Linked DNA regions of Drosophila melanogaster. The protein of the gene in region 2 purifies or fractionates together with the protein of the main gene of each other region. This does not show direct contact. Each region holds a gene or a part of one and is shown on either strand. Other genes may lie near its edges.

The links.
Region 1: the proteins of r-l (region 2) and CG5568 purify together in Drosophila melanogaster (affinity purification with mass spectrometry, with the first as the bait; one large-scale study listed by BioGRID). This does not show direct contact.
Region 3: the proteins of r-l (region 2) and Synd purify together in Drosophila melanogaster (affinity purification with mass spectrometry, with the first as the bait; one large-scale study listed by BioGRID). This does not show direct contact.

What each region holds. Positions count from the first base shown.
Region 1 is NT_037436.4:5,869,558-5,874,018, reverse strand, and holds CG5568 (uncharacterized protein), read right to left. Parts: upstream 2,519-4,461; 5' UTR 2,422-2,518; coding exon 2,254-2,421; intron 2,198-2,253; coding exon 1,686-2,197; intron 1,635-1,685; coding exon 677-1,634; 3' UTR 501-676; downstream 1-500. Other genes in the region: CG18586 (uncharacterized protein), read right to left, coding at 1-161, 219-386.
Region 2 is NT_033777.3:21,070,057-21,075,183, forward strand, and holds r-l (rudimentary-like), read right to left. Parts: upstream 3,264-5,127; 5' UTR 3,163-3,263; coding exon 3,010-3,162; intron 2,950-3,009; coding exon 2,433-2,949; intron 1,769-2,432; coding exon 957-1,768; 3' UTR 722-956; coding exon of another isoform or gene 668-721; 3' UTR 501-667; downstream 1-500. Other genes in the region: dmrt93B (doublesex-Mab related 93B), read left to right, coding at 3,951-4,205.
Region 3 is NT_033777.3:20,830,777-20,838,798, reverse strand, and holds the start of Synd (syndapin), read right to left. Parts: upstream 6,001-8,022; 5' UTR 5,926-6,000; intron 4,403-5,925; exon of another isoform or gene 4,334-4,402; intron 3,575-4,333; 5' UTR 3,572-3,574; coding exon 3,468-3,571; intron 2,925-3,467; coding exon 2,815-2,924; intron 1,215-2,814; coding exon 877-1,214; intron 765-876; coding exon 538-764; intron 475-537; coding exon 354-474; intron 287-353; coding exon 176-286; intron 124-175; coding exon 1-123. Other genes in the region: CG31223 (uncharacterized protein), read right to left, coding at 6,368-7,523, 7,583-7,611.

The sequences.
Region 1 (4,461 bases), on a different chromosome or scaffold from region 2:
AAGCATGCATATGCCACAGCTGATTGGTGAGTCGTGTGTCTGCCCATGACCCCCACTATATCAGTTTGCCCCAAGCCCATATTCCTCATATAACTAGCCACTCGCATCGCATTCATATGAAGATCTTCGCGGGTGAGTACGATGTCCTCCGTGATCGAGATCTGGTGGTTCAATGCAAATCTATACATTTCTCTGATTTCGAGAGAAAAGAAACTCACCTGGGCAATGAGTTTCGGATTGTTTACCATATCCCCAAAGATTATCTCTCCGATTGATAAGTTTGGCGAAAATAAACTTGGTGCTTCACGACCACTCCAGATCTTGAGTTTATCATCATAAGTGCACATCGCGTTCAATAGTTTTTGTTTTACTTCCATTTCAGCCATTATAAGAAAATGCTGAGTCGATTATTAGTTTTTAAGTAAATTATGCTATTATAACCCCTCGTATCAGCAATGCTATTTCACAGCAATAATGTACATAATTACGAAAGATCAGCTGTATTAACGATTTTGTAATCGATATGTGTTTCGGTATTATTTTACTCGGCGAATATGAAAAAATGCCTAAGATGGCGAACCTCTTAAAAAGCTTACGATAAATACAACAAATACAAATACAAATACAATAAAAATACAAATACAACATAAACATTACAATAATTAAATATGCAAAACTAATTCTTCTCCATAATTCGTAAAAACTCAGCTTTTGTGGCCGCTCTGTTTGCTTTTCTATTGCCACTCTGAATAATGTGATCCACAATCAAAGCTCCTCCATTCAACTGCTTAAATTTGGCAGGTATACGTTTCCTCACATACTCCACAACATCCTGGGCCTCTAGTTGGGTTCCTTGTTTCTTGACCACTGAAGCGGCTGCCTTATCTCCATAAACGGGATCCCAAATGCCAAAGACACAAGCTTCCACAACATTTGGCATTTCAGCGATGACACTTTCAATCTCGCTGGGGTAATACATGATGGTCTGATACTTGAGCATATCCTTCAAGCGATCGATAATGAACAAATATCCATCCTCGTCCATGTAGCCCAGGTCCCCGGTGTGAAACCAGTTCTCCGAGTCCTGCATCTTCTTCGTTTCTTCCGGATTCTTGTAGTAACCAGGCCATTTCTGACCATTATTGAAGCATATCTCGCCCACGACATTGGGTCCTTGTGCTTCACCCAGCTCGTTGACTATTTTGATTTGAATGCCTCTAACCGGACGACCCACTGAATTGGGTTTCTCATCGAAGTTGAAGTTTAGGCATCCGGGGCTGTTCAACTCGGTTAGTGTATAACTGAAATTTACACATTCGTTGCTTAGACGGCTGCGAATTTTGTTCTGGACTTCCAGTGAGCAGTTTGATCCGCCGTAAAAGAAATACTTCACGGATGATAGGTCCGCCGCATAGAATTCCGGGCAATTGGACAGCATCGCCAATTGCGAGGAACTTACGAACACCATCGATATTCGATACTTCTCAATTAGGCCACACAAATTGGCAGGATCAAAGTCACAATCTTCAATTATACTAGTCAAGCTAAACACGGCTGCATTGATGGTCATCGTGATGCCTGATGCCCAATCCAAAGTGTTTGGGTTATACTGAATAATCGAGCTATCCACGGGTCTGAAAATAATAAATTAGATGGGTGTATAAAATTAAGGTGGTAATATTTACAGAAAACTCCCAATAATCTGGTGACTATTGCTAATGGTGACTGCCTTTGGAAGGCCGGATGTTCCCGAAGAGCTAAGAATGGCCAGTAGTTGATCAGTACCGTCTTTCAGTCGCACTGGTCGAAAGTTCATCTCCACGGGAGTGGTTAAAATATCCTGAATTCTCAATATTCCTGCCGGGTGATTACGCATGGTTACTATTTGTACCTGAAGGCCTTTGGTGGCTGCTTGAACTTTCTCAAACTCATCTCCATCACAGAAGATTAAGCGTGGCTTGGTTATTCCGAACAGTCTCTCGATGGCAGATTGTTCGTATTCGGTGTGTAGGGCATGATAAGGAGTTCCATTAAAGAAACAGGCATAGGCCAGAGCAGTCAAGTGAGTGGTCAACCTGCCAATGACTCCCACAAAGTCACCTTGCTCCAGACCCAGTTTACGCATATAACTTGCCACCTTCATCGCGTTTGTCTGGATGTCTTTCCAGGTCAGCTCAGTGTTTTCTGTAACTGAAATCTAAAGGTTTTGTTTCGATGAATATAAATATTGTTTCTTGTAAATTTATTAAGTACCTGGGCAGTGAGCATAGCATTGCGCTCCATTTGTTGAAAGATAATTTCTCCAATGGACAAATCTGGTGAGAATAAACTGCGTTTTTCGCCACCACTCCAGATCTTTAAGTTTTCATCAAAGGTGTTTCTTGTCTTAAAGGGCGATTTTCCCGCTTGCAATTCACCCATTTTGTATAATACGTTAAGAATTAAAATGAAGGCTTATAATTTATATATCTCTCTAACTTCTGTGATAGTAATACCATAAAAACGAAAGTGATAGACGCAAGAACTCGAATTTAAAGCTTCAAGTTAGGTCTCACCATTATCAACTGACTTATTATATCGATATTTCTTTGAGCTAAGAAAGAGATACTAAAAGTTTTGTTCATAAGTGAATTTATTTCATCTACCAATCAATTATTCCGTCACTGTTGCCATACTAATCATATTTACTATTTATGTTTACTTAAGCAATGATTAATTGCCAAGACTGTTTTCATGACCGCTGATAATCCGATTTTGAGATTGCATCCCATAGTAAAATACTCAAAAAGATGTCGAAAAGTGTTTCAGCAAATGGTCAGCTGGGCTGGACTGGAATCTCCACCACCACCAACAATAAGATTATGATAATGGGCAGCCGTCAAAGAGAGGATTATGGGTTTTGGAAAACAAGTGGATTAAGGGGTTGACAATTGGGGGAATGTGCTGTCAGGAATTTGGCTTTTGCGTTTTGCATTTGTTTTTACGATTATGACCGACATGGATGGATCGGAATCGAAATCGTTCAGTTCTGCTCTGTCCCATTATGATGCGCTATTTTGAGTGACCCTGTCCTCCGCAAACATAGCGAAACTAATAAGTAAAATGTGTTTTTCAAACATTGATTTCGGCCAGTGCGTGGTGGGTGGTGTTTTAGGAAACACACACACACACACCCCCTTTTCGAGACGACAACATTTGTCATAAGGCCAAGACAGCCTCAACAGTTGTTGGCGATTATCATTTTGACAGTTGCTTCTCGCTTCGCTTTTGTTTCAGTTCCCTTGGCTGCGTTTTGGGCCTTGATTTATGCATTTTTAAGCGGTTCACTTATTGTTTCTGCGCACAAATATGGCCAAGTATCTCGGTATCTGCGAGATACAATCCCCTAGTCAGCCCTTGCCGCGTAATTTGTTGATTTATTGCAAGGCTGCCACTGCAGGCATCTTCATTAAGCAGCACTAGCTTCCGTTTTTTATCCGGCCACGCCCGTCGTCTTGCAGCGCCCACGATTCGCTTTCATTATCATTATCCTGCCGGCATTGTCCTTAGCCTCGTTTGTCATGCTCGGTGCGTCTGCTTAAGTTTTCGCACGCTCCAACGCCTCGGCTTCCTTGGCGCAGCCTTCAAGATGTGGAAATTGAATTGAAAACGTGCTGAAGCGTTAAATGCTCTTGTGTCAACTGCTTCCAATCCACCCAAACCTCCTCGCCCCCAAATGTCCTTCTGTCCATCACATTTCGTCCTGTGTGTGTGGCGACATATGAGAATTTGTAACCTCAGCACAAGCTGGTCCGAAGTTGCGGCTGCGTCGGCCGTTCTCCGCTCGCCCCCCAAAAAGTTCCCGGCCAAGTGGCAAGTGGCAAGCAAGCGGGCCATAATTAATTCCAAATTGCATCCGCAAAGGATTGCCAAGTTTCGCTGGCCAAAACTTATCGAAGGTACGATGCAGAGTGTGTTGCTTAAGGGATTACCGAAAATCTGCTTTTCAATATTGCTCATCTCTTTAAGAGCTAAGTAACTGTTCAGGAGCAAGAAAATTCTTACCCAATGTAATTTATTTGTAATTTTTTTTATATTTATAGCCTAAAAGTATGCTATTGCGTTTTATAAAGTTCCATATTTGGCCGGTAATGATGATGGCGCTATTCTACTTTGTACTAAAATTATATCGGCGACATCTAGCGAACATTGTGTGAAGTCGCAGCAGCTACGAAACGCCATCTGCTGGTCGAGCTGAGTTTCATAGCTATTAAACTATGTCAGTCAGAAACGTGTACAACAAATATATGCAAGGAAGTCTGTAGTCAAGCTGTCTAAAGTGTCTGTCTAGACAGCTGGTGGTTGCGGTTCAATCCCAACTTTGGTCAGCACATTTAGTTTGTTTTTGTTTTAAATTAAAATATTGTTTTTTTTATATACTTCATTCATATAAATTCATATATGGACATATGTACTCTGAAA
Region 2 (5,127 bases):
TGTACATACAATTTCAAGATGTAAAACTTTAAATGTTATGTTAAATTTGAAAGACATTCATTTGCTGATCAGGTAGATATATAGTTGATTACCCCTTGGAGGAGTAGCTTCCGGCAATTAACCAAACCATAAGCCATGTATACAAAGTAAAAGGCGTTTAATGCTCTGACCCTCTGCTCTTTTCACGCTTTTCTCTACCCGTTTAAACGAACCAACAACAGGAGGATGCCGAGACCGATATTGGATACGTCCTGGTCACTCTTACGGCTTGGTAGACGGAAGCAGCCGGAATATCCGAATATCTATGAGCAATACCCCACTGTTCAAGTAGAAAATGCCAAAAACAAAAAAACGTTGCATTTCCCCAAAAAAAAGTATAACAAAAGCGAAGAACAAATGGAGTTGGTCTATATACAGTAGTTGTGATGTGTTCTAAAAATCCAATCTACAAAACGCTTAGTATTTTCCCTCTGTGCAATAACGTCTAACGTTCAACGATTATTTAACATTTTTACGTATTTTTATTTTGTATACATGTCTTTTTTTATTGTAAATTATGGCGCATCAAAGTCGTATGCGTAGTTTGTGCTTGTATTAACTAATAAAGTTGGCTTACACTCAACGGCAAAGCTGGGTCACATTCACCATCCACTGATCTCCTTTCCAGGACGACCTCTCCGGAGACTACAGCTACGTCTTGCAGTGCCTGGCCTCCTACTAAGGATTTCCTCGTTGGATCGATTGTTAACCATTCTATTTGTTGTAACTCTTACTTTAAGGCAAGCATCGTTTGCCAACTGTTTTGCGGAAGATTCATAGCCTATGTTCAATTCATAAATGCACTGTAAAATCGCGGTAAATAATTGGAAGATTTTTTCACTTATCTAGGGTAACCGAAACCAAGGGGGAATGGGTATTGGGGAATATTCGTTAAGGGGGAATGCTGTTTGGGTTTTCTACTTGGCAACTCGATCCTGGTAGGCTGCCCACAGGCGGTCGCGGTACGTCTGAGCCGCCTGCTTCGGGCTGCTGGCCTTCAGAATGCCCCTGCCCACCACTCCGATGTCGGCACCCCGCTCCTTGACCACATGCTCCGGACTCTGGTACTGCTGGCCCAATTGGTCCACGCCCTCGTCTATCTTCACACCGGGCGTCAGTTGCAGAAGTCCGGGGAAGGCAAAGGCATCGGAGGATTGGCATACCACACCGGCAACGAAATCTACATCGGCTCCCTCGGTTGCGATCTTGTTGCTGTTCTCCTTGTACTTGGCGTCGATCAGGTTGCCGCTGGCAGACATCTCCGCCAGCAGGAAGACGCCGCGTTCCTTGCCGGCTCCTCCTTCGCCAAGGCCCGCCTTCAGACCCTGCAGAATACTACGTCCAGGTAAGGTGTGGGCCGTGACCAGATCTGCCCAACTGGAAATCTTATAGATGCCCTTGCCGTACTGCAGGGACACCGTGTTGCCGATGTCTGCAAACTTGCGATCCTCCATCAGCAGGAAATTGTGCCGCTGGGCCAGAGCTTGCAGGTCAGCGATGAATTTATCACTGAAATCCTCCACAATGTCTACGTGCGTCTTCAGCAGGCAAATGTACGGACCGCACTTGTCGGCCACGTCCAGGATCTCATCGGCGTGTGTCAGGTCGGCGGCCAAGCAGAGGTTCGTCTGTTTGCTGGCTATCAGGTTGAAGAGGCGCTTGGCCACCGCGCTCTTAGCCAGATTGGCGCGATTCTCGTAGGTCAGTTTAGTGCGCTGCAAGTCGTTGGCTGCGGGGAAAGTGATGGTGATTAGTTAACACTTCAATTTTGAAACGTGCACGTAGACCTATCTTATCGCCTCTTCTTATCGCTATATGGTTGTTTTGTACCTATGCCAATTTTCTTCAATAGCTTCACACTTTGGCGATCCCAAAGTACATAACTCTTTTCAACTGGGAATCAATTTTGGCTATTGTTTATACAGTATCTTAAGAGTATATACAAAAGTTACTCCCCAAAGGCAAAGACGATGATTATGATGAGATTAGAATACTGTGACTTTACAGGTGGAAACAAAAAGCAAACCGGTTCCCATACATCTCATCAAAGCGCCATAAACGAAATGTGATTATTTATAGAAGATGGGCTTGATTGAAGGAGCAGGCTGGCTCTCGAGTGGGCTGATAAGCGTGGTGGCATAATTGAGTGCGGACCGGACACTGCCCTGAATCAGAATCACGTGCCGCATTCCCGGGAATGATCCGGTCCGATAGTGGAATCCAGATCGGCCTACCGCCGTTTATGGCGGTTGTATAACTTTATAGTAGCGCGACTGGAGCGCTCCCTAATTGAATTTGTTCGAGGCCATGTGCTGGCCGAGTGTCATGTACTTATTATCTATCTATGCATCTATCTATCTGGCAGATATCACGGGGATCTGGAGCATACGCACCTCTGACAACGTCGCCCTTATCGCCGCCGACGAAGGTACCATCGCTGTTGATTTGCACGGCGGCGATGTACTTGGCCACCGCCTCCACTGTGGACTTCTCGATGCGCCCGGCCTCGTGAAGTGTGTTCAGCAGAAAGGAGAGCGTGAAGAGCGAGTGCATCCGCACGCCGTGCTTGGCGATGTTGGCCACTCCGCCCTGCTCACGGTCTACGACGACCACGGCGTCGGTGACCACAATGCCCTCGCCTTGCAGATCCCGCACCGTGTCCAGGATGCTGGAGCCGGAGGTGACCACGTCCTCGACAATCAGACAGGTGTCGCCAGCATTGAAGATGCCCTCGACCAGCTTCTTGGTGCCGTACGCCTTGGCCTCCTTGCGCCGCACCAGCATGGGAGTTCCCTGCTGCACGGACACAATGGTGGCCAGCGGGAGCGCCGTGTAGGGAACACCGCACACGTGTTTGGCGCTCAGCTGCTTGTCCTTGATGTGTTCCACCAGCAGGTCGGATACGGTTTGCTGCGGGAAGACCAAGTTAGCTACTGCCATTGACATGGAGCACTAATCCCAAATACTGACCATCACATCCGGATAACTGACGATCACTCGGAGGTCGAAGTAGACCGGCGAATTTATGCCCACTTTCATCTTGAAGTCGCCGAACTTGAAGGCATTGATCTCGAAGAGCTTCAGGGCCAGGGCCCGCATTTTGTCGGAGTTCTGGGCAACCATGCTGGCAATTCTAAATCTCGATCTTAATTCTTCACACACGTGCTAGCTAGGCTCCAATAAGAACCGTCCAATTGGGAGTCTACGCTTTTTAAACATGCTGCCAGTGTGCACGTATCTGCTGTGACATTGGGGCACATTTCGAACACCCTAATTAAGGTACAAGTTCTGGTTGCGCCGCCTGGGTGGTTAACTTCGCTATGCCGCCAAACTTATCGAAGTTCAAATTATTATAAATGTCGTAGATTTTATCAACATTGGCTTCGAATTAATAAACGTTTATTATTAGTTATAGGGTAACAAAGTAGCATAAGTGTTAAGGTTTTGAAATAAACTATTTTGCATGTGAAATATTTCCCAAATTCATAAAATATATAACCTTTAGTTTCTGAGAAGTCTTAAGAAATTTCAAGGAAATGAATGGATGGATTATATACAATATTTTGTCCGCTGCATTGCTGTATTGTTCACTACTTAGCATTTGTAATCTGAAAGCTTTGGCTCCGCCCACAAACCCTTGACTGCAACTTCAAGGGGAGGAGTCTAGTCATTTTGCAACCACCAATGACAGTCCTGTAAGCTCATATTGCAAAATGAAAGCCAAAGCGCCTGCGTAAGTCAACAAAGTTTGCGCCATTCATTGAAACAATTCCAGATCCTTTGGCGCGTGTTTCCAAAATTTAGTTTCTTTTCGCTGGTCTCCAAATAAGTCGCAAATTTGTGCTCCAAAAGCGGCAACTTCTTAGTCGAAAAATCGGTTTTCTCTCAATCCATTTCTCGCCTGCGTTGCGATGGCCAGTTCAAGTGGTGAACCTGCTGATGAAGTGGCTAATAAGCGTCCTCGTCTTGTGGCTAATCCCAAGGCCACCAAAATAGTTGAACCCACACCGGCCAAGGTCACCAATCGGGTGCCCAAGTGCGCCCGCTGCCGGAACCATGGGATCATTTCAGAGCTGCGGGGTCACAAGAAGCTCTGCACCTACAAGAACTGCAAGTGCGCCAAGTGTGTCCTGATCTTTGAGAGGCAGCGGATCATGGCCGCTCAGGTAAGTTAGGATTTATATGCACGATGACAAGCAATCCTTTCTGCTTAATTGGCAATCATTGACATTACTATCCTCATTTTATGATTACTGCCCACTTGCTAACTTTAATGTCATCTATCCTGGATGGTAAAATCGCTATCCCAAAAATAGCTTTTTAAAAATTCGGTGCATTCGAATACAGAAAATTGCCTGGTTAGATCCATCCATAGACATCCAAACCATCCAGACCAGATATATTGCTCTAACATTCGGAGACTTTATTCCCAGTCCTTTAGAAAATTTCTTCTTGTAAAAACATATTCCCTTTATTAGCATTTACTTAAAATGACATATCAAATATTCTCAAAAGCCAAAAGTTTTCTAAAATAACTTCAGGATATTAATGTATAAATGTATAAGCATAAACGTAATTGTGTTTCATGTTGTATTGTTCGCAATGGATTCCGTGATCGATTTTTACTAGGTATAACTTTGAAACCCAATTTAAGCCTTTCGATTATAATTTAACTTGATTAATGTCACTGTTATATTTATAATTTACTAACCTGGGACGACAAACAAAAACACCTATTAGCAAGGGGAGCTTAAATTAACAATAGCACCGAAAACTCCGACATTTTCTTATATCGTGTTTTGTGACTTTGAATAACATTTTGGAAACATTAATTATTTTGGATTTCTGCGAAAATTGTTTTTTACAAATGATGTAAAAGAACTGTTAATAGGAAATACCTTTCCAACATATAGCACGTTTAACTTAAGTCGTTCAAAAATGGTGTGCGCGGAATATATAGCTGATCCAAACATCTTAGGAGACTTTCAATAACACGGTTTATTATAGTAGCAAATGCAATAGAATATAGATTATTATGTCCATATATTATATTGGAATGCAGATTATATTCCAGCCTGCCGTCGCTGT
Region 3 (8,022 bases), 240 kb from region 2:
GGCTTCCGATGTGGTGACTGAGGATTGCGTGGTCGCTATTTCGCTCTTCACACTCGCTCTGCTGCTGACACTGCTCAAGGTGCTGGTGTTCTTCTTCAGGCTGTTTGTCTGGGGGTATTCCTGCTAAAGAGCTGGCTTAGTCTGATATTAACTACTGGGTAGTCAACTGGCTTACGTGCACATCCTCGGCCACAGGTCGCTGGTTGATGAGCGTGATGGGTGCTGCCGGCAGTGCCTCTTTTGATTTGTTGCCCTTGGCAATGTCACGGAACTCCTCCGTATATTCCTGTCAACAAATAGGAAGTTCTTCCATTAGCGGCCACACTGGGCTTCAGTAAAAACAGAAAACTCACCACAAATGATGGCCAATTCATGGCCATGTTAATGCCATGATTGTTCGACCACCATTTTAGGTCTTTCTGCTGGTCTGCATTGTTGATCGTGTGGGAGAACTCCTCGTAGATTTGGGGCAGGCTGTAAGTCATGTAAAAGTTATTTAAATGGATCAGTTAAACTCAAATCAAATTCAATTCGCACCTTTGCACTTTTGTGAGGTCCAGGCACGAGTGCACGTTGAACAGGATTTCTTTGAAGAACTGCAAACGCGTCTTCTCAAAGGTTTGGCACTTTTCAAACACGGATGTCATGTCCTCGATGTACACCGAATTGTATTTGGTGATTTCGGCAATCGCCTGCTCGTACTTTTCCCGGCACTTTTGCACTTGATCTTTGGTCTTTTGCACTCGATCGTGCATTTTCTTCACCTAATTAGGAAATGAGAAGTGGTGTGAGCATAAAATTAATAAATAAATTAAATTAATAGTTATACATACATATGTATAACTAAACTATTGCTTTTACAAAAAAGATCCTTACCTGATCCGGCGACAACGAGCTATCGGCATTGGCATTGCGTTCCTGATTGGTAGCACTGCGCTCCGTCTTGCAGGCCGAATGGTAGTCCGCTTTGGCCTTCTCGACCTTTGCCAGCAGCTTGGCCCAGGGTTTCTGGGCCTTCTTGAACAGATCCTCCAGGTCCTTGCGCTCCTTGATCTGCATAAGCGTGTGGTGGTAGTTCTCCTTCTGCCACGTCTTTATCTGGCTGTTCACATCGTTGCAGAGATTGTCCTTGATCTTCATGTGAACGTCGGAGATGCGTTCCGATTCCGTCAGAACGCCCTTCCAGGCTGCCTCCGTGGTTCCGTATTCCGGGCCTGAAACAAATCAGACATTCGTTATATATCTCTTTTAGCGTTTCTCAATTAACAACAGATTACAAGCGTGTCACCCTGTCGAGCTGTTTGCGGCTGACGTCATCGTGAGCCCCGCGGGTACTTGGTTTATCTAATCAGCCGCAGCCGCAAGATATATACAAACATACATATGTAGCCATATCTATAGGTATAGCAAATATAAAATGCCCGAAGAATAAGCGCTTGTATGGGTGCTGCGATGGAGGAACATCGTACATTTTTGGCATTTTTTATTGGGACCCCAAACACACGGCAATCAAGTTGATATGATGCTCGTCTTATAATTGGCAGTGCACGGAACTCGTTTGCCTAACGACTCACTATTCCCAATTCCCCCTGTGAAAAGGCACACAAACAGATATATAGAAATTGAGACGCTTAGCACACAAATAACTCGTTCTATTTTCTCGTCGCATTGATTTTTGAAACCATTTCAAGCGACGCTCTGGTGCCGGTTTGCTTTGGTGCCGAGTTATGGGCCACTGTCCAGCGCTTCTGCCTCCCAGTCTCCGTATCTGTAACTGTGAACGTATCTGTATCTGTATTTGTATCTGCACACGTATTCGTATCTGTATCTTTGGCTAGACGCGGCTAGGCAAATTCCTCGCAAATAAGAAAACTCGAAGAGCACTCGGAGGCGGAGGAAGTGATGGTAGTCGCTTTTGCAATTGCCCATCGCTGGTTACTGTGAAAGTGGACACTGAGAATTCCGTGCAGAGGCGGTCACAGAAAATAGCAGCAATAGAAGCAAACAGTACCAATGGGGCAAAGCGGTTTCCAACTTCGCAAGCGCTGTACTCGATTTCATTTTACGAAGAAGCGCGCACACTGTGCCGGACATCCGCTAAAAATGGTCAAAGACCCAATTCCGAAAACAATGAGTGAGTCGATGATTACCGCCGTTTTCGAAAATAGTATTTGGTAGTGTGTACTTATAGAAGTACATATATGAGGCAATAGCAAGGTAATAAAACCTTAAGAACCCATATAACTTATATATCAAAAAATAAAAATTGTATATTACTATAAAGCAGAAACCCACAGATATTTGATTCTTTATTTATTTATTATTTTCTCTTGTACAAACTTAAGATTTCCGCTGCCGAATTTTAATTGTTTAGAATGAAGAGTGTGAAGAGTGTATGCATATGTTTATGTTAGTTAATCCAAACACTTTGCCAGCCCCGCTCATTAACATACTTAAATAAATTGGTGTGGCGATTTTGAACCACAGTGCGCAGCTTTTGCAGAATACAACCGACAAAAACGAGGTAACGAAAAACGTAAAAAAAACCATTAATAGCTTAAGCCACTTATCGCACAACGGCAACAACAATGCTCAGAATGATGTACAGAATGTAGAAAATAAGAACAGCCAGTGGGCCAAATAAGTGGTGGGAATTCAACGTGAGCGGGTCACTTGATGCTCCACTGGGCTTTTAGCTCGTGAATGAATGTGTTGGCCAACAGAAGGCTTCCACGACTGATGATGTCTCATCCCACAGGCCACAGCCACCCACATCCCCATATCTCACCAGATCCCCACCTGCCGCTCACTTACCTTTCTCAATGAGTTCACCCCATTTCTTTGACCAGGTGCGCAGGCTTTTCGCATATCCCTTCTCGATGTCGGCACGCTCCTGAATCAGTTGCTGTAGGTCATTGCAGAGTCTGCGGGCGAAATGAGACAAGAATCATAATAATGCAAACCGGTTTGAATTTTTGTCTTGGGTTTGGGCTTCGGGTGTCGATATATTCGGCTGGCAATGACCCAGCGTCGCCCAGTGCAAATACACAGAGAGAACCCATTACCTATTTGCTTAAAAAGATTGATTGTATCACTAGAAATCAAAGCTCATTAAAAAAGTTTATGAAATGTCCACATAAGTAGAACAAATTGAGTTAATACTAAGACCAATGCTTATACCAAGGTCTTTATATTTTCTTATTTTTTTCCCTTAAATAAATACGAATTGCTGTAAGTTTGCATTCAAAACAATGTGATGACACTGCATGACCTACTAAACACACAGAAAAGATACAGTTACCAATACCAATTGGTATGACAGAAACGTTGAAAAACGATTGGGTTGCAGCTACGAATATGTTTTTGAATATTAAGCCAATTGTATTATGTCGAGGAATTCGACTGACATAATGGCAAAATAAAGTATCTCTCTGTGCACCAAGACTCCCTGGGGATTATCCACTCACTTGTAACCATCCTCGATCCGCTTGGTGGTGCGTTTGTAGTTGCCGGGCTCCCAGAAGGAATCGCTTCCAGCCTGGAGGAGCTGATCATCGCTGTGGTGGGACATTTCCTGTGGATTCCAATCAATATTAATCAATCACATACGACGGGCTTAAGCGCAATAATCGTAAAATATGAGTTTTGTTACGTAAATAGACACTGCAGACATAAACAACTTCCACACAGCAGCAACAACAAAAAGCTCTTTGTTTATACGCAAACTTGTATTTTTGTAGTGTTTGGCTAAGACCAACAAATCGTTTGTTAAACGACATACTATAGTAAACCCAAACGAGACGGGCTCTGAGTAAATTTATTGTTTGCCTAATTTGTTCAATTAAGAAATTCCTTCACATTGATGCAACAGGCAGAACTTTAATTACTGGAGCCTTATCAACGACCATATTTCTTGACGGTTTCGCCGAGTGTCCCCATTGATAAAGACTGGACTTATCACCCCTGACTCATTGTGCAACTTTGCATGGTGTTCTGCCAATGGGTTTACTATTTTCAAATTGGAATATTAAGGTAATGTCTTATTTTAATTGAAAAAATTTTCTTCGAAACTAAAAAATAAACATATTTTTAACCATATTAAGATAAATAAATATTTGTAATTTATTTTGAATTCGATTATTTTTAGTATCGCTTTCAAATATTATTTCTGTTTTTTGAGATAAATAGATAATGTTGACAGATTTTCTTTCTGTGTAGCATACATTTTCCACCGTAATAGTTTCATCTTATCAAGGGAATTCTCATGCACCCATATTTTGTAACCCAGATAAATGAGATCCCAAAAATTGAATTTGAAATTTAATATACATACACGCTTCAGGTGTTCTGCATTTCTGATTGTACGCTGAACAGTTGATACGCTTGTTTTTACTCCGGACAAATTCGAAAATTAGAATTCGAAGCAATTCTAACAATTTGGCGTTCTGCTTGCTTTGATAGTGCTTTTTTCTTTCCTTTGAAGTTATTCCCATATGCCTCTGGAACCTTCAAATATCTATCAACAGTTCTGCAGCTGCGATTTATCTGTTTGGCAATGTTCCGATTAGGCAATCCTTGCGAGTGTAGGAAGTCTACTTTTTGACGTTCCAATAAGCAGCAGCTTTACCCATTTTTTCTTCAAATGTAGCTCGAAAACACTTTATTCGTTTATTTGTTATATTTTTTCAATACAACAGTTTATACTTGTCCACGCAATACGAAGAAATTTAAGCTGCATCTAATTCAATGACCAACAGAAAACTTTGATAAGAAAAGCATTTTGGACAATTAAAAAAAGCATGCAAATAAATGATCGATTTTGTTAAAAAAAAAACGATTGTGCGTCTAACCTAAGAGCAGCAGTGTACATCGTATTGGAGACCCTTACGTGTGACAACATTTAACATTTCAATTCTCTCTGTGTAGCGAGCTAAATTTTTTCATACTCGGCGATGGGAAATCTTGGTATCTTATCAGTGGAGTGGAGTTTCCCTGCATCAGCTGTTTGTAAACAATGCAGTCAGTTTGAGTTCCACTCGCACACACCCGTATGGTGAATAACGGTTATGTTATCAGCAGCATTGACCGGTTATATACATGCTTTCTTATTTATATATGTATAATAACCTCTGCTGAAGTTTAATCACCTACACACATGTGTAGATTGGTGATGTTGGGTCTGCTGAATGTGGAATCTTGTATCTTGGGTTGACTTGATTTGGGCGTCATCGACTCACGATGCGCTTACGGATTTTCCCCATCATCGGCTATAAATATAAATATAGGATCGCGGCTCAGTGCGATTTTCGTGTTTTGCGTGTGGAAATGGCCAGCAGAAAGTTTACAAACAGGTTGACGCATACTTCGCATATTTGTGGAGATAGATAAGCACCTTTACGGCGCTCTCACAAGCACTCGCGCCACACACACACACACACATACGTATATGCACATCTAAACCAACACGTCGCACACTTAGGCGATAAGAAATCCCCCTCCGCCAAACAACCAAGAAACTCGTTTATCTTTGAGATTGAACTTGTCTCGACCGTTTCTACTGTAAATATTTGCATCGTTTTCCAGCACACCTTACATAAGGTTTTCTTGGGGCGCTGCTATTAAAATGCTTTCGCTGTGCACTAATTTTTAGCAGGCGAAGCGTACGAAGAGCACTTGCTGGCCGATTGGATTTTGTTGTTGCCAGACGCACACCGACACGCACACACGCTCGGCTAGGTCACACAAACACACGGGAAGCGAAATTCCGCTACACCCAAACGCGTTTACATGAAATGTTCTGTTCTAAATTGCGATCGCTTTTGTTGTTGCTGCTGCTGCAGCTGCACTGCATTTAAATGGTTGTTAAATAATCCTTGGCTTTGGGTCTCTGGCACTTGTTCATACCGAAGCAGGGCGACAACCTACCAATAACAAAATAGCGTAAAAAAGCACTACAACTCGAGTGTGTGTCTGGAATCGCCAACTAAAAAAACTATGTGAGGTGTGACCGTTTCGCGACCATTCAAATACACCTCGCGGCTAGCTGAAAATACCGCTCCATACGAATACAAAAATACCGAAATGTATTTAGGATATACATTTATTTTTAAGACATCTGTACATATTTTTAAGTACTAGTTACAGTACTAGCACAAAGTCAAGTTTTACTTAAACCAATTTGTTCTTTAAGTCCTTAAAATACTGAAGTTTCCAATCAAAATGTGTACACTAATTATACATAGTTGTATTTAAATTCCAAGTAAAATAAAACAATAAAATAACAATCAATCTATAGTCAATACCGCTCCAAATTTTGTGGACAATATAAAAACAGAATTATTTTGAAATGTTTATTTTAGAGGATTGCTTAAAGGACTTCTTCCCGCGCCACATACGACAGCATAAACTCGATTTTGCGAACCAGTTGCGCCAGTTTGGTGCGATCCAATTGCACACTTCCGCTGGCCAAAGCGAACAGCTTCTGGAACTCGGCTTCCTGGGTATTCTTACGGCGACTGATTGCCTTCGTCTGCTGCAGCAGATAGAGAACATCACTAAGGGCGGCCAACTTGTGCTCCTTCGTAGCCATCAACTGGCGGGCATCCTGCTGCAGCTGCTCCCTGTTGTCGACGAGGAAATTGGCACCTCCTGCAGCACTTCCAACTGCAGCCGCGCCGGCAGGACCATTACCCGTGGTGATGGCTTCCATCTCTACGGAGACAATAGCGTCCTCAGCATCCTCGAAGTTGGTGCCGTACTTTAAGGTGGCGCTGAGATTGACAAGGTGGGCCACTGCCTCGCTGGCATTGGTCCTCTGTTCGCCGCCAAAGAAACGAGCCACACAGGCGTAGGCGCTTAGTATGTTCCACAAATTGTAGTGCAGGCACGGAGACGGAGTTTTCTTGCATATATCGGAGAATTTGGCAATGCTCCCGAAAATTTCGGGAACACGGCTCTCTTTCTTGGCAGCTTCTTCGGGTGTAGGTATAATCACAATCTTAGAGTTCTTCGGCTTGATCCACCAGGGCTTGTAGTCTGGCATAAGCTTCATGATATCTCCATTGGTGATCAATTTCTGGAACTCATCTTGCTCCTCTGTAGTTAACCGGCTCCAAACTTCATCCGCATCGTTGATATCAACGCCTTTCAGTCGAGTTGCAATGTCTTCCTCCAGGTCTTCATCCAGTATGTCCCCCTCGGTGACGTTTTCTTCCGCCTCATCTTCTTCTGACTCTCCTTCCTCGCCTCCATCCGAGTCCAAACTATTTTCCAGGCCATCTGTATCAAATTCCTGGGGATTGAAACCACTGTCCGTTTCTCTCATCCTCTTCAGTATGTCGTATATTTTCCGCATGTCCTCCTGGCTTTCCTGCGTTACCGTGTTTTGGGTCAGCTCGTCCTGAATGCAGGACTTGTAGAAAGCCTCGGAACATTTAAGGTGCTCCTTGGACTTGTAGCATCCCACGCTGCAATACAAAGCATTGCACTTGGGACAGGTGTACTTGAAGGACACCTCGCGACAGCTGCAGGAGATTAATATATATTGAACCGCTATAATTAATATTACTTGTTAACTACTTACAAGTGACACTTTTCATCGGCTTCCGACATGGTCAAACAAAATGGAATAAACAAAATAGTGCGGTCGCCAACAGCTGATCGCTGTAGTGTGACCGTAACCACGATTCGTTAAGTAACGGCTTTTCAAATGGATAAGTTTTTATTTTGTTGTAAACAAAATAAAGTTGTTTGTAAACAAATTATACGACTTAGATATTATAAGAGTTGGATTTAATTTGAATTACGCAATTTCTCTTGTTTTTTACATAGGAATTTATTAGCAAATAACTATGTATATCAAATATGAACCTTAAAGATAAAATATATTTAAATATTAACTAGTTAGTCTTTTTACAAAAATTCGTTGTAACTAAACAATACACCTATCAACTACGAACATCAATGAAAAGAGAATAATAATATATTATTTAAGTACTTTAAATGTAAAAAGACTTATGAGAG